Saccharomyces cerevisiae S288C: one gene and its partners. The gene in region 1 interacts genetically with each later gene. Each region holds a gene or a part of one and is shown on either strand. Other genes may lie near its edges. The genes, in order: PPQ1, YAP3, REA1 and VAC7.

Evidence for each region.
Region 2: mutations in PPQ1 (region 1) and YAP3 together harm fitness more than expected from each alone (negative genetic interaction), as found in Saccharomyces cerevisiae (one large-scale study listed by BioGRID).
Region 3: mutations in PPQ1 (region 1) and REA1 together harm fitness more than expected from each alone (negative genetic interaction), as found in Saccharomyces cerevisiae (one large-scale study listed by BioGRID).
Region 4: mutations in PPQ1 (region 1) and VAC7 together harm fitness more than expected from each alone (negative genetic interaction), as found in Saccharomyces cerevisiae (one large-scale study listed by BioGRID).

What each region holds. Positions count from the first base shown.
Region 1 is NC_001148.4:206,620-210,341, forward strand, and holds PPQ1 (protein-serine/threonine phosphatase), read left to right. Parts: upstream 1-1,537; coding exon 1,538-3,187; downstream 3,188-3,722. Other genes in the region: TCO89 (Tco89p), read left to right, coding at 1-1,028. UniProt on the Saccharomyces cerevisiae protein: Phosphatase involved in the regulation of protein synthesis. Affects translational accuracy.
Region 2 is NC_001140.6:83,529-87,024, forward strand, and holds YAP3 (Yap3p), read right to left. Parts: upstream 1,533-3,496; coding exon 540-1,532; downstream 1-539. Other genes in the region: ETP1 (Etp1p), read right to left, coding at 1-193; YHL009W-A (gag protein), read left to right, coding at 2,381-3,496. UniProt on the Saccharomyces cerevisiae protein: Transcription activator involved in the regulation of genes expressed in response to environmental changes.
Region 3 is NC_001144.5:360,728-365,470, forward strand, and holds the start of REA1 (AAA family ATPase midasin), read right to left. Parts: upstream 3,012-4,743; coding exon 1-3,011. Other genes in the region: REX3 (RNA exonuclease), read left to right, coding at 3,389-4,603. UniProt on the Saccharomyces cerevisiae protein: Nuclear chaperone required for maturation and nuclear export of pre-60S ribosome subunits.
Region 4 is NC_001146.8:524,421-530,100, reverse strand, and holds VAC7 (Vac7p), read right to left. Parts: upstream 4,016-5,680; coding exon 518-4,015; downstream 1-517. Other genes in the region: tyrosine/serine/threonine protein phosphatase MSG5, read right to left, coding at 1-159. UniProt on the Saccharomyces cerevisiae protein: The PI(3,5)P2 regulatory complex regulates both the synthesis and turnover of phosphatidylinositol 3,5-bisphosphate (PtdIns(3,5)P2). Positively regulates FAB1 kinase activity.

The DNA of each region.
Region 1 (3,722 bases):
AAAATGGTGGAAGATCTCAACTTGGCCAAAATATACCGAACTCTCAGTCTACTTTCCCCACCATTGCTAACATCGGTAGTAAAGATAATAATGTACCACAGCACAACTTTTCGACCTCCATATCGAGTTTAACCAATAATTTGAGGAGAGCTGCTCCTGAAAGCTTCCATGGTTCAAGAATGAATAATATTTTTCACAAGAAAGGTAATCAGAATCTACTTCTGAGATCCAACGATCTCAACAAAAATTCTGCAGCCCCGGCCTCTCCATTGTCCAACGAACATATTACATCTAGTACGAACTCCGGTAGCGATGCAAACAGACAATCCAACTCAGGTGCCAAATTTAATAGCTTCGCCCAGTTCCTTAAATCAGATGGGATTGATGCAGAATCAAGAACACAAAGAAAATTATGGTTGCAGAGGGAGAATTCTATTATGGACTTAAGTTCACAAAATGACGGTAGTGACTCTATCTTTATGGCAGGAAACATTGATGCGAAAAGGGAGTTTGAGAGAATATCCCATGAATACTCTAATGTAAAAAGATTTTACAACCCATTAGATGAAGCATTGTTGAGAGTACAACCTATAATAACGGGAAATGCAAATAATATCAGGAAAAAAAGCCATAACGATGCTCAGTCAATCGCACATTCTAGCAGTGATACAGATCATAAGGATGAGGACGATTTGCTCTTTACTAACTATGACAAAAAATTTGATGATCTTTATCCACATCTTGCAAGTGCAAAGATTCAGGCAGTGTTGTCCGGTATATGGAAAAGCGAAAGTTACTTATTTAACAAGGATGTTAATCCAATCAACAAGAATAGGACAACGAGTACAAACCACAGCGTTGGCCACACTGCTTCACAGAATGCACGTAACTTGCTGAGGGGCCCGATGGGTTCCAGCACGACTTTGCACCACCAACGCGTCATTAACTCTCTGCAGCCGACTACGAGGGCAGTGAATCGCAGGATGGAAAATGTGGGCTACATGCATACACAGCCACAACAAAGGTGAAAACAACCAACACGAAGCACACAGTTTAAAAGAGTAGCTAATGCTTTCGAGGTAAAACGCGAAGTTCGTAGAGAGCGAATATGTTTGGACACTTAAGGAACATACTATGTTTATGCACTATAAAAGGACATGTACTTCTATACGAGCTAACGAGGCGTATTTGTATAACCCGGTTAACGTAATAAATGATAAATTATCGAACAAAAAGAAAGAAAAACGTTGAATGCAACCACCGCAAATTTAGCGATTTCGCTGGATTCCGTATCTCTTAAAAAATGGCATTAGTAAATATACCTTAAACGTGTCTATTCTTTTAGCAATTTTTTGGTAAGTATTCCTCACGGACTATAAATACTATCGGTCAGAATCACTACATTCAAATTAATCTTGTTTTACCGAGTCTCTGACGTTTCATTTACAAGCTTGTCCTTACAAAAAACCTATTTTATTACTTTAGTCCATTTTCCTTTCAAGTTAGATATTGTTTTCCCTTCACTTATATTCTATTTATGAGAAGAAGCCCGTCCAGATCAAATAATAACTTTGCAGTACCGAATTGCTCAACTAATTCAAACTCTAGTCAGCAACAATTAACTACACCTTCAGATGATCTCAACAGTAACGAACCTAATGACCCAGATGATAGTAGGTCTCTACCTACTATCAAGAAATTCAATAATAAACATTCTATAAACAATTACAACACTTTAGCATCGGCCGGGAAAAACAACAACAATAAACGAGCTAGCAATGATAATTTGCTCATTCCTGGTGAGAATGCCCATAAACAGAAAATATACACTAAGGATGAAAACTTGAAGAGCTTGTACCTAGATATCGATGTTTCTGTCGCTAAAGCCCTATCCTCATCAGCAACTGCTCCGAAGCTGATCAATACCGCAAGAACTTCCTCTACTACCACTGCCACTACCTCAAATAATATCCTGACATCACCCTCTTATCGTGAATCAAATTATTCTTCTCCATCCTCATATTCTTTTTCCTCCTACTACTCATCCGCTACGTCTGCTTCCTCATCAACCTCATCATTTTTAAAATCTTCAGGGTTATCGTCCAGAGTTAAGTCTCCTTCATCTTCGGTTAAGGCAGGTTCTTTTGGTGCGCCTTCGTCCCCAACATCTGGGATACCTAATCCTAAAAGTAGCAAGAAGCCTATATTTTTGAGACGGTATTCTCATGATACCTCTTCAAATGAAGGTCTTGATATCGATGTTGCGATCGAAAAATTACTACAAGTGGGTGAGTCAAGAGAAATTACAAAAACGTCCAAAAAAAAGAACTTTCCATTCCATTCTTGGGAAATTCAACTCATTTGCTATCATGCAAGAGAAATTTTTTTGAATCAACCTACTCTTTTGAGATTACAAGCGCCTATCAAAGTTGTCGGTGATGTTCATGGACAATTTAATGATTTATTGAGAATTTTGAAGTTGTCTGGTGTGCCATCTGATACTAATTATCTGTTCTTGGGTGATTATGTGGACCGTGGTAAGAACTCATTGGAAACAATACTATTGTTATTATGTTACAAAATAAAGTACAAAGACAACTTTTTTATGTTAAGGGGTAATCACGAATCTGCTAATGTCACAAAGATGTACGGTTTCTATGATGAATGCAAAAGGCGATTGAGCTCGAAAGTATGGAAAATGTTCGTTGACGTATTTAATACTTTGCCATTAGCAGCAATTATTCAAGATAAGATCTTTTGCGTTCATGGAGGTATATCGCCCGATTTACATGACATGAAGCAAATCGAAAAAGTCGCAAGACCAACGGATATTCCTGAAAGCGGGCTGGTTACAGACTTACTGTGGAGTGACCCAGACCCTCAAGTAACTGATTGGTCAGAAAATGATCGTGGTGTTTCATACACATTTTCTAAGAGGAACGTTCTTGATTTTTGTGCTAAGTTTAAATTCGATTTAATACTTAGGGGACATATGGTCGTAGAAGATGGTTATGAATTCTTTGCCAGGAAAAAGTTTGTCACAATCTTTTCAGCACCAAATTATTGTGGAGAATTTCATAATTGGGGGGCAGTAATGAGCGTTACAACGGGTATGATGTGTAGCTTTGAACTGTTAAAGCCGCGTGCATTGAAAAATAAAAAGAAGTTATACAAAACCAAAGTGTAGCTGTTGCTAAGATTGGTTTTGCCTGGAAAGCACATTGGTTTTTAGGCCTCTTATCCTTCATTTGGAAACTTTTTGTCCTATGATTTGTTTTTTTCATTTTATTTTTCATTTTATTTTTCATTTTATTTTCATTTAGTTAACATTATTATGCAGTTATTTTTTTTTTTCCCACCTTCATGGCCTCGTTTATGTCTTTTATCAATATATTTTTTACGTTTATAAGTCATTTACTCGACTTTTTTTACCTTTGATATGCAATCATATTATTCTTCCCTCCATTATGGCTAAATAAATGATAATTATAATCTATAGTTTTCAAGCGTTCATATTTTGACAGATAAGATTATGCAACAACTTGGAAGGGCGGAAGGAAGCAAAAAGAAAACTCCGATACGGGGAGTCGAACCCCGGTCTCCACGGTGAAAGCGTGATGTGATAGCCGTTACACTATATCGGACAATAATTGGACAGAAAATTTTGTTAAAGTGTCAGCCTAATCGGCGTAATACGTATATATGTATATTATCTGCATATT
Region 2 (3,496 bases), on another chromosome or scaffold:
AATCAGTTATCATGTCTATTTCCAAGTCACAGACTCTCCAATCCTGCCAGTCTTGATTATTACTTTTAATACTTTCTTCCCCGATACTTTTTGCCTTCAACTTTTTCGGAATACTCTTGAAAATTTGATAAGCGGATTCAACCTGATTTTGGTTTCCAAATTCTAAAGTAATGATATACTCAAATTGATCCATAGATGTGAGGGCCAACCAGAAAGTAATACATTCAATGCTACTATTCCGTTATTGCCTCTATGTGTTTTCCTTTGAACTTTTACTTAATCCGCGGGTGAAATTTCATTTTTATATTTTCCATTTTATAACAGGCCGTCCCCTAAAAACACCGCGTAAGAACATAGTTTATACACTTATATAAGTAAAAGGTGTAGTAGGTTGGAATGGTAAAGGGCGTATTGTGTGTCAATTATGCGATGAAAATGTATACTTCGAAGTCAATAAAAAAAGAACCTGGTTTGCCTCATGAAGATGTTGCCTGCCCTTTCTTATTTAGTGTTTGTAAGTTATTTTTGTCAAAGTCTATTCATTCATTCAAAGTAGCTTCCTCCACTAGAAAATCGATTAAACTTCTTGGATACGCAGGTCCATGGGTATGACAACATTCTTGTCCTTGCAATTTGCTCATAACGTATGTCACATCAAAGTCCCTCTCTTCTGAAAGTTTGTAAAGATACTCCCAGGTGGCGGGGACTGTTAGTACATGTCTTCCTGCTTCGTCAGTATACTGGGTATTTCGCTTCATAATTTCATTATCCTTTAGCGAATACTTGCCTTTGTGATTCAGTTTGCTTTCCAGGACCATAGAGGTAAAAAATTCATCTTTCGTTGGGAAAGAATATTTGTAGTTGGTATCATCTTCTATGTCCTTTGAAAAATTTTCATTACCACTCCGCAGTAGCAGTCTGTTCTCTGCGTTGATTTCAGTATTTGCCTTTCTTAGTTCCTCAATTTCTTTCAATAAACTTTGGCGGTTCCTTTCACTTTCTAACAATTTATCTTGTAATTCTTTCATTCTGGCTTCTTTTCTCTCTCTGAAGGCTTTTTGGGCGGCTCTGTTTTGAGCCTTTTTCTTTGCCTTAGAGTCATCTGGAACATTCTCATTATGAGCAACTGAGGGACTCCTCGAACTTGGAGATATACCATTATTTTTAGAAAAATAATTTGTATTACTATAACTATCATTATCATTATTATTGTTATCTGCCATAACATAGGTAGAGTAGTCGCCTGAAATAGGGGTTAGTTGAATTGCTTGAAGATCACTACCCTTAGGGAAAGATATGTTGTTCTGTAATAGCAAATCATTATTTGATCTGTCAAGGTTCAAAGCAGGACACTGGTCTTCCAAAATTGGGAAGGGTGCTGTTTGCTCGCTCAATAGGTCTGGTTGTTGTTTTATACATTTGCTATCTTCTTGGAATAGACTATTTCTGATACAACAATCCTCCTCTTGGCATTGAGGGTTAATAAATTTCATGAATCCGCTGGTATTATCATCCATATTAGAAGGCGTCATAACAATTGCTTCAGCCTTATTCTTCGTTAGTTTATACTGGAAGTAAAGCAAACACCTACTGCCCCTTTTATCGAAATGATAAACAAATAAGAAAGCTCAGAGGGCCTCCGGTAATATTCAAATCGATCTGTTTTATAATGCTTATTGAATAATAATGCCGTTGCTGTACTCTTAACATAAAGCTACGAAAATCCACTATACATTTTTCTAAAGAAAAAAAAAAAATTCAAAAAAAATTGATTTCGCCCAGGATCGAACTGGGGACGTTCTGCGTGTTAAGCAGATGCCATAACCGACTAGACCACGAAACCAAATTCTTATTGATTATGTTGTATTACGGGCTCGAGTAATACCGGAGTGTCTTGACAATCCTAATACAAACAGTCTTAGGGAAGTAACCAGTTGTCAAAACAGTTTATCAGATTAATTCACGGAATGTTACTTATCTTATATATATTATATAAAATATGAATCATACTGTTGGAACGAGAGTAATTGATAGTGACATGAGTTGCTATGGTAACAATCTAATGCTTACATCGTATATTAATGTACAACTCGTATACGTTTAAGTGTGATTGCGCCTATTGCAGAAGGAATGTTAAACGAGAAGCTCAGACAATACTGAAGCGGTGTTAAAGACCTATTAGTTGAACATGTTATGGTAGGTACATATATGAGGAATATGAGTCGTCACATCAATGTATAGTAACTACCGGAATCACTATTATATTGGTCATAATTAATATGACCAATCGGCGTGTGTTTTATATACCTCTCTTATTTAGTATAAGAAGATCAGTACTCACTTCTTCATTAATACTAATTTTTTACCTCTAATTATCAACATGGCGACCCCAGTGAGGGATGAAACAAGAAATGTTATTGACGACAACATTTCTGCGCGGATTCAATCGAAAGTCAAAACAAATGATACTGTCAGACAGACGCCATCATCATTAAGAAAAGTTTCTATTAAAGATGAACAGGTGAAACAATATCAAAGAAACTTAAATAGGTTTAAAACCATACTAAATGGTTTAAAGGCAGAAGAGGAAAAACTTTCTGAGACTGATGATATTCAGATGCTAGCTGAAAAATTATTAAAACTCGGAGAAACCATTGACAAGGTTGAGAATAGGATTGTGGATCTAGTTGAAAAGATACAATTATTGGAAACAAACGAGAACAATAATATATTACATGAACATATAGATGCTACAGGGACTTACTATTTATTCGATACGTTAACTTCAACCAACAAAAGATTCTACCCTAAGGATTGTGTTTTTGATTATAGGACTAATAATGTCGAGAACATTCCTATTCTCTTAAACAATTTTAAAAAATTCATCAAGAAATATCAATTTGATGATGTCTTTGAAAATGATATCATAGAAATCGATCCTCGTGAAAATGAAATCTTGTGCAAGATAATCAAAGAAGGACTCGGTGAAAGTTTAGATATCATGAACACAAATACAACTGACATTTTTAGGATAATCGATGGTTTAAAAAACAAATATAGAAGTTTACATGGTAGAGATGTCAGAATTAGAGCCTGGGAAAAGGTTTTGGTTGATACAACATGTAGAAATTCCGCATTGTTAATGAATAAACTTCAAAAGTTGGTACTAATGGAAAAATGGATTTTTTCTAAATGCTGCCAAGATTGTCCTAATCTAAAGGATTACCTACAAGAAGCTATCATGGGAACCTTACATGAATCCTTAAGAAATTCTGTGAAACAACGTTTGTACAACATTCCACATAACGTAGGAATTAATCACGAAGAATTTCTAATCAATACTGTTATTGAAACAGTAATTGATTTGAGCCCAATTGCAGACGATCAAATAGAAAATAGCTGCATGTATTGCAAATCTGTTTTCCATTGCTCAATTAACTGCAAAAAGAAACCAAATAGGGAACTTAGGCCTGACTCGACCAATTTCTCAAAAACC
Region 3 (4,743 bases), on another chromosome or scaffold:
AGAATGGCCTCAGATTTTTGGTCCAGTAAAGTCAAAAAACTCATACAGAATCCATCATACAGGGAACGGCGTAGACCGTAGATATGAATAATATCAGTAACATAAAGCAATGTACGCGTCAGGGTACGGATACTAAAGTGTGGTTTTTGGTTTGAGCCATCAACTATAGTATTGTTATCGGAGAGTTTTTTGGCTTCAAGGTAAAGTTCAGCGATGTCATTTCCTACCCATTCATCGCTGACGCTGTACTTTCCAATATATTTATCAATTATGGAAAGCAAATCAGTAATATCACGTTCCGGAGAATGTACATATATTTCGGTAAATCTTGATCTGATACCCATAGGTAAGTCTCTTTTACCAACATCAGTAGCGGGGTTCATACAAGCAAATATTCTAAAATCGGGGTGAGCTTTTATAGGCTCAGCGTCACCCTTTTCTGAAAGAAGAATACTACGAGAATCAGGCTCGGTGAGAAGGTCAGAAATACTTTCTAAGGTATCTGCGGTTGCTAAATTCACTTCATCGAGCAATAGCCACTCCCCAGCCCTGATAGTCTTTACCAAAGAACCCTCGACAAAATTGAAGACAAACGAGTTTTCAATAGAGCTAGACTGGGCCTCAAACTTCTTCACTGAGTCATTGAAGTCAGCCCATTTGTCAAGTAACAATTTTTTTTCATGAGTATTGAGTCTTCTTTTCTTCTTCTTTGCATTTTCGTTTTCATTTTCAGTGTTTGTAATTTTTAATATGCTTTGAGCCATTTTGTACGCTTCGTTCCAAAGTTTAACAACGTTCTTCCATTGATTCTTGTTGAAGCACCTATGTAGCATCTTGTGAAACTTCTCGTTCTTCTTTAAGGAAAATGTAGCATTAAAAAGAGTTTCAAAATTTTCTTGTATAGGAACTGCAACTGTTTTAGAATTTACGGGTTTGTACCCACCAAGAAGATCACCAGTTTCTGTTTGTTGTGAAACATTGATTACCGTTAATTTTTTTGCTAACATCTTAGCAAGTTGTTGAACGACTGTAGTTTTCCCGGTACCCGTTTCACCGACTAGTAAAACAGGTTCAGTCATCTGTATACAAACAGAAATCTGTTCCATTAGTCTTAAAGAATGATTCGTAAATGCGAACAATGTGCTGTTCATTGATTTTTTTTGTATATTTAGCTTTTCCTTAAGTAATACGGCTCTTCCAATTTTAATGCTATCATCAAGGTTTTCCAAAGTGGGCACATGTTGGGTCAAAAATAACGAAATCCTTGAGGAAGCAATGTCTAATGACTCGCCGATTGCTTGTATAATAGGTTCCAAAGCTTTGAATTCTCCAATAGCGCCAGCGAAACAGTCGGCGGCTTCGGAGAAAATACTGTCGTAGACAGAAGACTGGATTAGTTGGTCAGGTTTGTTGATGCCATTGTTTTTGAATAGGATGTCTAACCTTTCGCACAGCTTAATTAAATCTCTTACAGATACAACTCTTGTGTGTGCCCCCTTGTTCAATGAAATGAACTTGGTGTTCATATAAATACTTTTGACGTTTTTGTATGAATCGATTAGTTTGGGGATAAGGTTGGTCAAAATGGGAAACTTTTGGGCTAAAATGTGTGTCAAATCCTCTTCGCTAGGTTCCTCTAATTCAATAACATTCCAGATTCTCATACCAATCATATTCAAGTTATAGATCTTATTGGAACTATCCTTCTGATGATCTTCGTTTATTCTAACAGTTGATATTAACTGGAAACCATTTGCAGCCTTTACAGTCTCTCCTCTGGATGGAATGGTTAGTTCGCGCTTTTCTAAAAGCGATAAAAGTATTGATAAAACATCTGTAGGAGCTTTATCTATGTCTTCTATAAGTACCCATCTCCCTTCTTTGACCGCGGTAGCGAGAACACCAGCTCTCCATTCAAACGTGCCTGGCTTGTCACCAGAGGTATAAGTACCAATCAGTAACTTGGCATCAGTTTGTTCACCTAAATGAATTTTCACAATGGAGTCATGGCAACCCATATATTTACTTAGCTCATTGATTAAAAAGGTTTTACCGGATCCCGCTTTTCCAATGAGCATTATTGGAGTTGAATTTTGAATCTTTCTCCCGAGTTGACGAAGAGAGGAAACCGTTTTATGAGTAGGGACAAAGGTTAATGGGTAGAATACTTTGTCGTGGATAGTGTGGACCTTAGGGACGATAACGCCACAGATTGACGCGACCTTAGTACTCAAATCCTGAGGCTCAATAATGAAGTAGCTAGATTTTTTTTCTATAGTGAAACATTCTGGAACACTGGGTAGTTTAGAGAAATTTGCACATCTCTTAGCTTCGTTCAGTTCGAGGAAGCTGTAATCAATTCCAGAATCGCCCTCAAAATGGCCCAACAATGAATCGCGTGATTTTATATAAGTGTCGAGCATATCGTTTAATGTTTTTTCTCCCATGTCTAAGTATAAAGATAAAACCTTTAATGCTAGAAATATAACAACCTGATTTTCTTGTTCTTTGGTGAGTAAATCCACAAGTTGGTATAAAATGTCGGGTTGAATGAAGCGTGCAAATACTTCTTTATTGTGATATAGTAACCTATAGTATGCTAATAGTATTTTAAACATGTCGGAATCCTTTTGTGTGGATGGATTTTGAAGAATAGTGATGAAATGATCATTCTCTTTATCTAAATAGTCTTCAATTAATGGCATTGCAACGGGAAATATTGTAATTATACTTGCCAACTTTTCAATTACAAGAACGTAATCTTTTTTTTTGGAGTCCTTTATCCAACGTGCCACTATCTCTAAAAAAATATGTTTGTAAAGGAAAACATGACCAGTGATGGAACGGCTATGTAGTATAGTTCCTGCTAAATTGTCTAAATTCTCAGAAGTTGATTCCTTGTTGCTAAAGTGGAAGGGCGCTTCAATAGCATCAGAGGGAAAAGCAGAATTGAAGAGAATTAACCTTTGGTTAACTACGTCTAAATCTAACAAAATTCTATCCTGGGACATTCTCAGCAGATTATAACGGTTTTAAAAATAATGTGACCGCGTAAAGTAGAGGTACCTTAAAATAATAAGAGTAGAATTCGATGTCAAATTAACTCAGAGGTACTTTGAATCTTTAAAATAATCACTTTGGAGAGGAATGTCTAAAGTAAAGCAGTAAGTGATATAATGTTTTCTTTTCATAAAGCTAAATAGACCTTAGCTCATCGCTTCTTTAAAATTTTTCACTCGAAAAAGAAAAAATACCTCGTAAAGGGCGACAATAAATGATGAGTAGAAAAAGAAATGGAATAACGGTTCAAGTGCATTTAAAATCAATGCCTTGAATATGTGTTTCAGTATACATTCAGTTTGACTATATATCAAGAGAAAGCTTTAGTATGGGAAGTTTGTTGAGACCGGTTGATCTGGTAAATCAACCGCTTGGATTCCAAGAAAGATATAAAATTTTGCAGAAATTATTCAAGCAGCTACAAAAGGCATATGCACACACAAAAGGAACTAATATTGACCTTGAAAGACTTGCCACTCGCTTAGAAGTCCATGTTGCTAAAAACAGCTTGTCTGGTCAGAGTTACAAGTTTAACATGAGCATTTTACTGCGGGATGTGCTTAAATATAAAGGAGATCTCTCGAAGATCAAAATTAATGGGCGCCCCCTTAAAGGAGCTAAGCCTCATTTATCCTCAATTGGTAATGCAAACTCTATCACTACAAAATCAAAAGCGATGGAAGCTTTAAAGGCTCTGATTTTGGATTCGAAGGTCTTAGAGAAAAATGGGTATATTGTTAAGGAAATGCAAAATAAAACTAATGATGACAATAGTACGCAACTGTATGCACCTTGTTTGCGTTGCAGCTCAAATTTCAAAAAAACAGACATCATGGAAAAGACTCTATGTAGGTATCACCCTTTGAAAAGAATATACAACAGAGATACCAAGAACCATCAGTATCCATGCTGTGGTGAAACTACTGATTCCGTTTCTTTTCTAAGGCTAGGATGCAAGACGTTTTTTCACCATGTGTTTAGAGGAGAATCATATGACGAGTTATGCAAAATTTCGAAGTTTTCTAGTACAGATGACATTGATGGTGTTGAGAATGTTCTTTCTCTTGACTGTGAAATGGCTTTTACATCATTGGGCTATGAGATGATACGTTTAACAATTGTGGATTTTTTCACCGGCAAGACACTATTTGATCATGTAATTCAGCCAATAGGGGATATTGTCGATCTGAATTCAGACTTCAGTGGTGTCCATGAGATTGACCGAACCAATTGCCCGACGTACAAGGAGGCACTTGATGTTTTTTTATCCGAAAACTTAATAAATAAAAATAGTATTCTTATAGGGCACGGACTAGAGAACGATCTGAACGTCATGAGGCTATTTCATAATAAGGTTATAGATACTGCAATACTTTATTCAAGAACAAAGTTTAAGGTTTCTTTGAAGAACTTAGCGTTTGAAGTTTTGAGTAGAAAAATCCAAAATGGCGAGCATGATAGTTCTCAAGATGCAATAGCAACGATGGACGTTGTTAAAGTCAAAATAGGTATTTCTCCAAGTCAAAACAAGTGGGAAAAATAATGTGATCATATTCAAAGTTGAGCAGACATATATAGTTATTACATTTCATACGGTTCACATGAGTTTTATTAAGTAATTACGTTAAGAAACAACATGATAAAAGTAATGATTTCGTATTGCTTTCCTATTTTCTGTATTTA
Region 4 (5,680 bases), on another chromosome or scaffold:
ATCTTGGCTTGGCGATGAGAATTCCATTAATGGATGGAGTGCTGCTATATCTAAAGATAAATTTTTGGTATTCCTATTTTGTAAGGAACGCGGTGAGTTTGGCTTGAAATCGATGTCGGTTTTACTGTCCAAATGCTGCTTATCTGAGTGAAATTGCATGTGCACTTATCGCTACCAAATGTATTACTATCGCTTCCGCTACTATTGTTGTCTTATACTTAAATGAAGAAAAAAAAAAGAATGTTTACTAAACGAGTTGCATAACCCTCACTCTTGTTTACTAAACGCTTTATTTAAAAGTAATAATAATGATATATTACACTGTATCGAATCCTATGTAACATTTTTGTATTTTTTCACTTCTAAATTTGAAATAGTCAAAGAGAAAAAAACATCAAAAAACAAACTACATTTTCCTTTTTTGGAAAGTACATTCCTGTTTTGGAAATTGCCTTCCGCTCCTGCGCTATAAAAAGAAAAATACCCAGCTTTGACGAAAAAGCTACATTCTTAACACTCACTTCTTACCAGGATGGACCATGGAATCCTTTTGAATAGCCGTAGATTTTTGCGTATTGAAAAAGGGCACCTCATACTTCATGCTTCCACGGACTATCAATTCGTAATCATGCTTGATTAGTAGCTTCCATTTTTTAGTATCATCTTCTTTGTCATCTCTAGCATTTGGTTTGCTTTTGTATTGTCTTTCATTAGTATTGTTTTCATCGTCACCATCGTCGCCATCATCATCGTCATCATCGTCGTTTTCGTGCTTGGCTTCACGAGACCCAGGACTTAAAAGCTTGACACTCGAGACTGACACATCGTAGTTCCTATTAAATGCGCCGCCCTGGAACTTTAATGGTGTCTCTAGTTTTTTAGCGGTTCCTAGTAATACCGTCTCTATGTTCCCACCACTAATATCATTATTAGCACTCTCTTCAACTAACGAAAGATTTGTCGTTATTTGTAAAATTTTCCGTTCCTGTTCCATTACTGTACAGTCACCATTAGAATCGCACTTCAGGTAAGAACTTTTTGCAAAAATGTCCAAATCGACTTGGGAAACGCTTATACTGAAGAATCCTGGATTAAAAGCACTTACTGTGATGTCGAAGATCAACTCGTCCGAACTTGAAATCACATTATCCATCACTACCACGTCTACATCTTGTAGTTCTTTATTAGTGGCCAATAAAAATCCCAGAATGAATCCTGTCATCAATAGTGATGATATAACAAATGCAAGATAAAGAAAATTCTTTACTTTCACAAATGGGGACTTCCTTGAGTAAAAGTTGTGCGGTGAGTAACCAACAATATCGTTATTATTGATATTGGAATGGGTAACGTCATCGTTACCATTCATATGGATGCTACCATTCATTATGCTATTGTTTGTTCTTGATAGGTGTCTTTGACCACGTTTCATTCTTAAGGGGGTATATTCATTCAATTGGTTGTTATTGCCAGTATTGTTGCCAACCATAAAATCGTAGTAATCATTATTTGATCTTGAAGGCATCCTTCCATGTAATGGAAGTTCGTGCGTGTTGGATGCTGAGCCATAGTAACTGTTGAAAGTAGCATTTGGGCGATCATAATCATCTACGTCTTCATCTTCACCATAATCGGATATTAGCGGTTTTGTTTCTAAATCGTTCTTATGATTATAATAAAACATGGAGTGAATATCGTTTTCATCACTTTCGTTATCTTCTGGAATAAACTCATGCTGAAGGTTAGTGTGTTGCGGTCGATTTACATTAGACGAGTCACCATTATTTTCCTCTTCAATAACATTGTTATCACCATAAAAGTTTAAACCATGGGGAAACTTATTGTTCCTGCTGTTATAAAATTCATCCTTTTTCACACTATTTTGCATTGTTGGATAATTATGCGGCTGTTCGATGTAATCTTCTAGATTAACGTGATCCGGTACCCCAGAGTATCTCCGTAAAGGAGCTCCATTAGGGTTTGAATCAAATATCTTTGACACTGTTGTTCTAAGAGGCCTTTTGTTGTCACCATAATTAGAATTTCTATTAGCAGAGGAATGTCTCAAAGTAGAATTGGAAAGAGATTTCTTCGTTGAAATATCATTGTTTGGTTCCAATTCCTGCGAATTTGTGGCAACATTGGGACACGATATTGTGTTACCGTTGCTTGATGTGGATGAAAGTAAATGTGGAGAAACTTTAGATAGGGATACTAAGCTTGACCTCTTATCAGGCGACTTGGCAATAACATTGCTGTCTGGGTTGTCAGAGGTATACGAATCTACCGATTGTACATCCATTGGTGGTTGCTGCTGCTGCAATTGATGCGGTGGCTCCTGTTTTATACTGCTCAACTCGTCCAGGTGATTGTGTCCCGACATCAGATTGTTATTGTTCTGCATCACATTAGAATTCAAGTTCGGATTTGTGCTTATAGTCGCGATTGTGTTATTCAATATGGCACCAGTGCTAATATGTCTTGAATTTTTCAGTCGGCTTAATAATTTTTTGTTATTGTTTAGCAATGGGGCGCTTATCTTTGAGGTTATTCCATGATTTTGTTGCTGTTGCTGTTGTTTTGGAGGTTGCTGTTGCTGCTGCTGCTGCTGGCTGGAGGAGTCAGGAAATATTAGGTTTTTAGTCGAATTAGCTGCCGATTCATAAACAAATGTTTCCTCAGAATCACTAATTTCATTTTCACCTACAGCTGTAGCCAGCCTTGCAGCGAAAAAATCCGCCTTTGTTGGTTTTTCTGAATTACTCTCATGTGAGTCGTCATTTATTGCATTATTGTTAGAGGTAGAAGCGCTCAAGTCGGCGTTAGAATTCTTGATATCGGCATTGGTTTTATTGGATGCACTATTACTGTTATTGCCGTTGTTGTTGCTGCTGGTTTTCTTCTTGTTATTATTGTGATTGTCAGCATTACTGCTGGAGACACTAGCAGTGAGAGCCTGAGTATTGTCTGTACTGCCCAAAGGTGCGGTTGAAGGCGCTGTTTTAGTAGATGTAGTGCATATTTTGCTGGTGTCATCATTACGTTCATTTTTCCCACTATTAATGTTTTTATTCTTCTTCATTTTGTTGTTATTTTCATTATCATCTGCGTTCGAGTGATTCGGTATACGCAGCCCATCATTTGCTACTGGACCATTATCGTGTGTGGTTGAATTCGCGGGAGCATTCTTCGCCTTTGTATCATCTAACAGGTTTTCACCTAAAAGTATTTCTCTTGAATTAGTGACGTGCATTGTGGGCCTCTCTATTATTTTTGGCTTATTTTGTTGTGATAGTGAAGGTAGAGGTAAAAGAGGAGCTGGAGGTGTATTCGAGCCGATGTTATTACTAGTGCTGGGTGCCGTGTTATTGGAGAAGGCCGAAGCCTTTCTGAACGCTTTAGATGCGGAAGTTGATGATGGACCATGAATATTCGCCGATCTCGCTGTTTGATAAAGGGCAATGTTACTTGTAGGCATATTATTGGAGATGACGGCAGGTTTCTTCTTCGAGAGTTCAACATCTGAAGCAAACGCAGGGTTAGAAGCTACCAACAAAGAGCTCTTCTTGTTTCGTAATGAAGATGACGGATTGGAAAGATGAGATGACAGAGGGTTGTGGTTGATTAGGGCATTGTTACTATTATTATTAGTTGATGAAACAGAGCCGATATGTTCTAAATGTAAATCTGTTGGGATATCACTCGTTGACATTGATGTTCCTGCCCTGTTTATGTCTGAATGCCAATGATCTTGATTATGTGACGTGGCATCGGAATCCATTAAATTGTTATCTATGGTGGGCAAATTATGCTGTACAACGTTGCTGGTGGTGTTAGCAGTAGCGACAGAATCATCAACTATTTCCCTGTGTAGCGGAGAGGTAGATGTGGAGGCAGAGGGAATAGAAGGATTAGGTGCTACTACATTACTGTTATTCGACAATAAAAGATTATTTGCCACGGGTGCCTCAACTGTTTCTGTCTCTACAGTGAGCTTTCTATCTTCTTCTGTCATCTAGCACGTTTCCCAAATGCTTTAACTTGCCTGAGATGAAACGATAAGGTGTATACAGGGCGATTTACACTATAATTTATGGAATATTTTCCTGTATCTACTTGATTTTAGTTGTAGAATTGAAGATCATTATGCAAAATCGAAGGGGATACCCGTCGCAGAAACCACCCAACGAATTTTCTAAAGCGGAAATGCCTAAGAACAAAGAAATAAGAAGAACGAATCAATATATTGCACTACAATATATCACAAAGAGTGGCCAGGAAGACTTACAAGGTCTAAATTTAAGAGGGATTAACGTTTTTTCAAGTTATGTACATCTTTATGTAAACGTAAAATCTAATTTTGTGTCTGTCTGAGGACGGGAGGGGCAGTCTTGTGCGACGACAATTATCTGAAAAATCTGCACATTTGGACTGCAATGTGTATCTCGTGTCTAACAGTCCAACTTTGGTGCTGAATTAACTTCATGAATGACCTCTTAATGATTTAGCGAAGGGAAATTAGAGGACAAGATCTCGCCGCGTGTATAGATATATACATATATATTATCCAAGATTGGAATGAATTTCGCCGCCCCTGCTCACCGACATCGAGACCAGTACGGTGCCTTCGCTAACCAATGTTGGACATAAAGCTTAAACCAGGGCTGATGATTTGCAACCAAAACGGAACGTAAACCTTACACCACTTTTACAGTTTTTTGTTGTAGTTAGAACAAAAGTGAGTAAGTACTCACCGTTTCTGCCGCGCGGCGAACTTACTTACCCAAATATTAATGGAACTTCCGATCCAAACTTCAACTTGTCTTTCACCTCTACGTATCTAATCTTACAGTGAAGTTTCCTAGAAGACTACCATTTATATATGTGGTTGTTGTTACAGCTTTGGACTGTGTGTCTTCGTTCGTTTACATATAGTTTGCAATTGTCCTTCCAAAAAACTACTAACGTTATCCTTGTGACGTTGTTGCTATAGCGTAACGTGCGTCACTAGTCTTCGATTAGTATTCCGTGATAGTTTTGAGAAATGGGTGAATGTTGAGATAATTGTTGGGATTCCATTGTTGATAAAGGCTATAATATTAGGTATACAGAATATACTAGAAGTTCTCCTCGAGGATTTAGGAATCCATAAAAGGAAATCTGTAATTCTACACAATTCTATAAATATTATTATCATCGTTTTATATGTTAATATTCATTGATCCTATTACATTATCAATCCTTGCGTTTCAGCTTCCACTAATTTAGATGACTATTTCTCATCATTTGCGTCATCTTCTAACACCGTATATGATAATATACTAGTAACGTAAATACTAGTTAGTAGATGATAGTTGATTTTTATTCCAACATACCACCCATAATGTAATAGATCTAATGAATCCATTTGTTAGTTAATAGTTTAAATGTTTTTATCGGAAGAGGTTTTGTCATCACATCAGCAATGTTCTTCTTGGTCTCGATGTAGTATACGTATAAATTATTACCTGATACTTCATCTCTAAGTCTCATTGCCTTTGTGCCAAAAAATCTGTTTCTAAATTTCTCTTCATTTGTAGACTTAATTATACTGATCGTTGATCTACTATCAGTAAGTAAGCCTTTAATAATTGGTTTCTTGTTAAGTTCTTGCACAAGGTGACTGAGGTTATTCAATAGC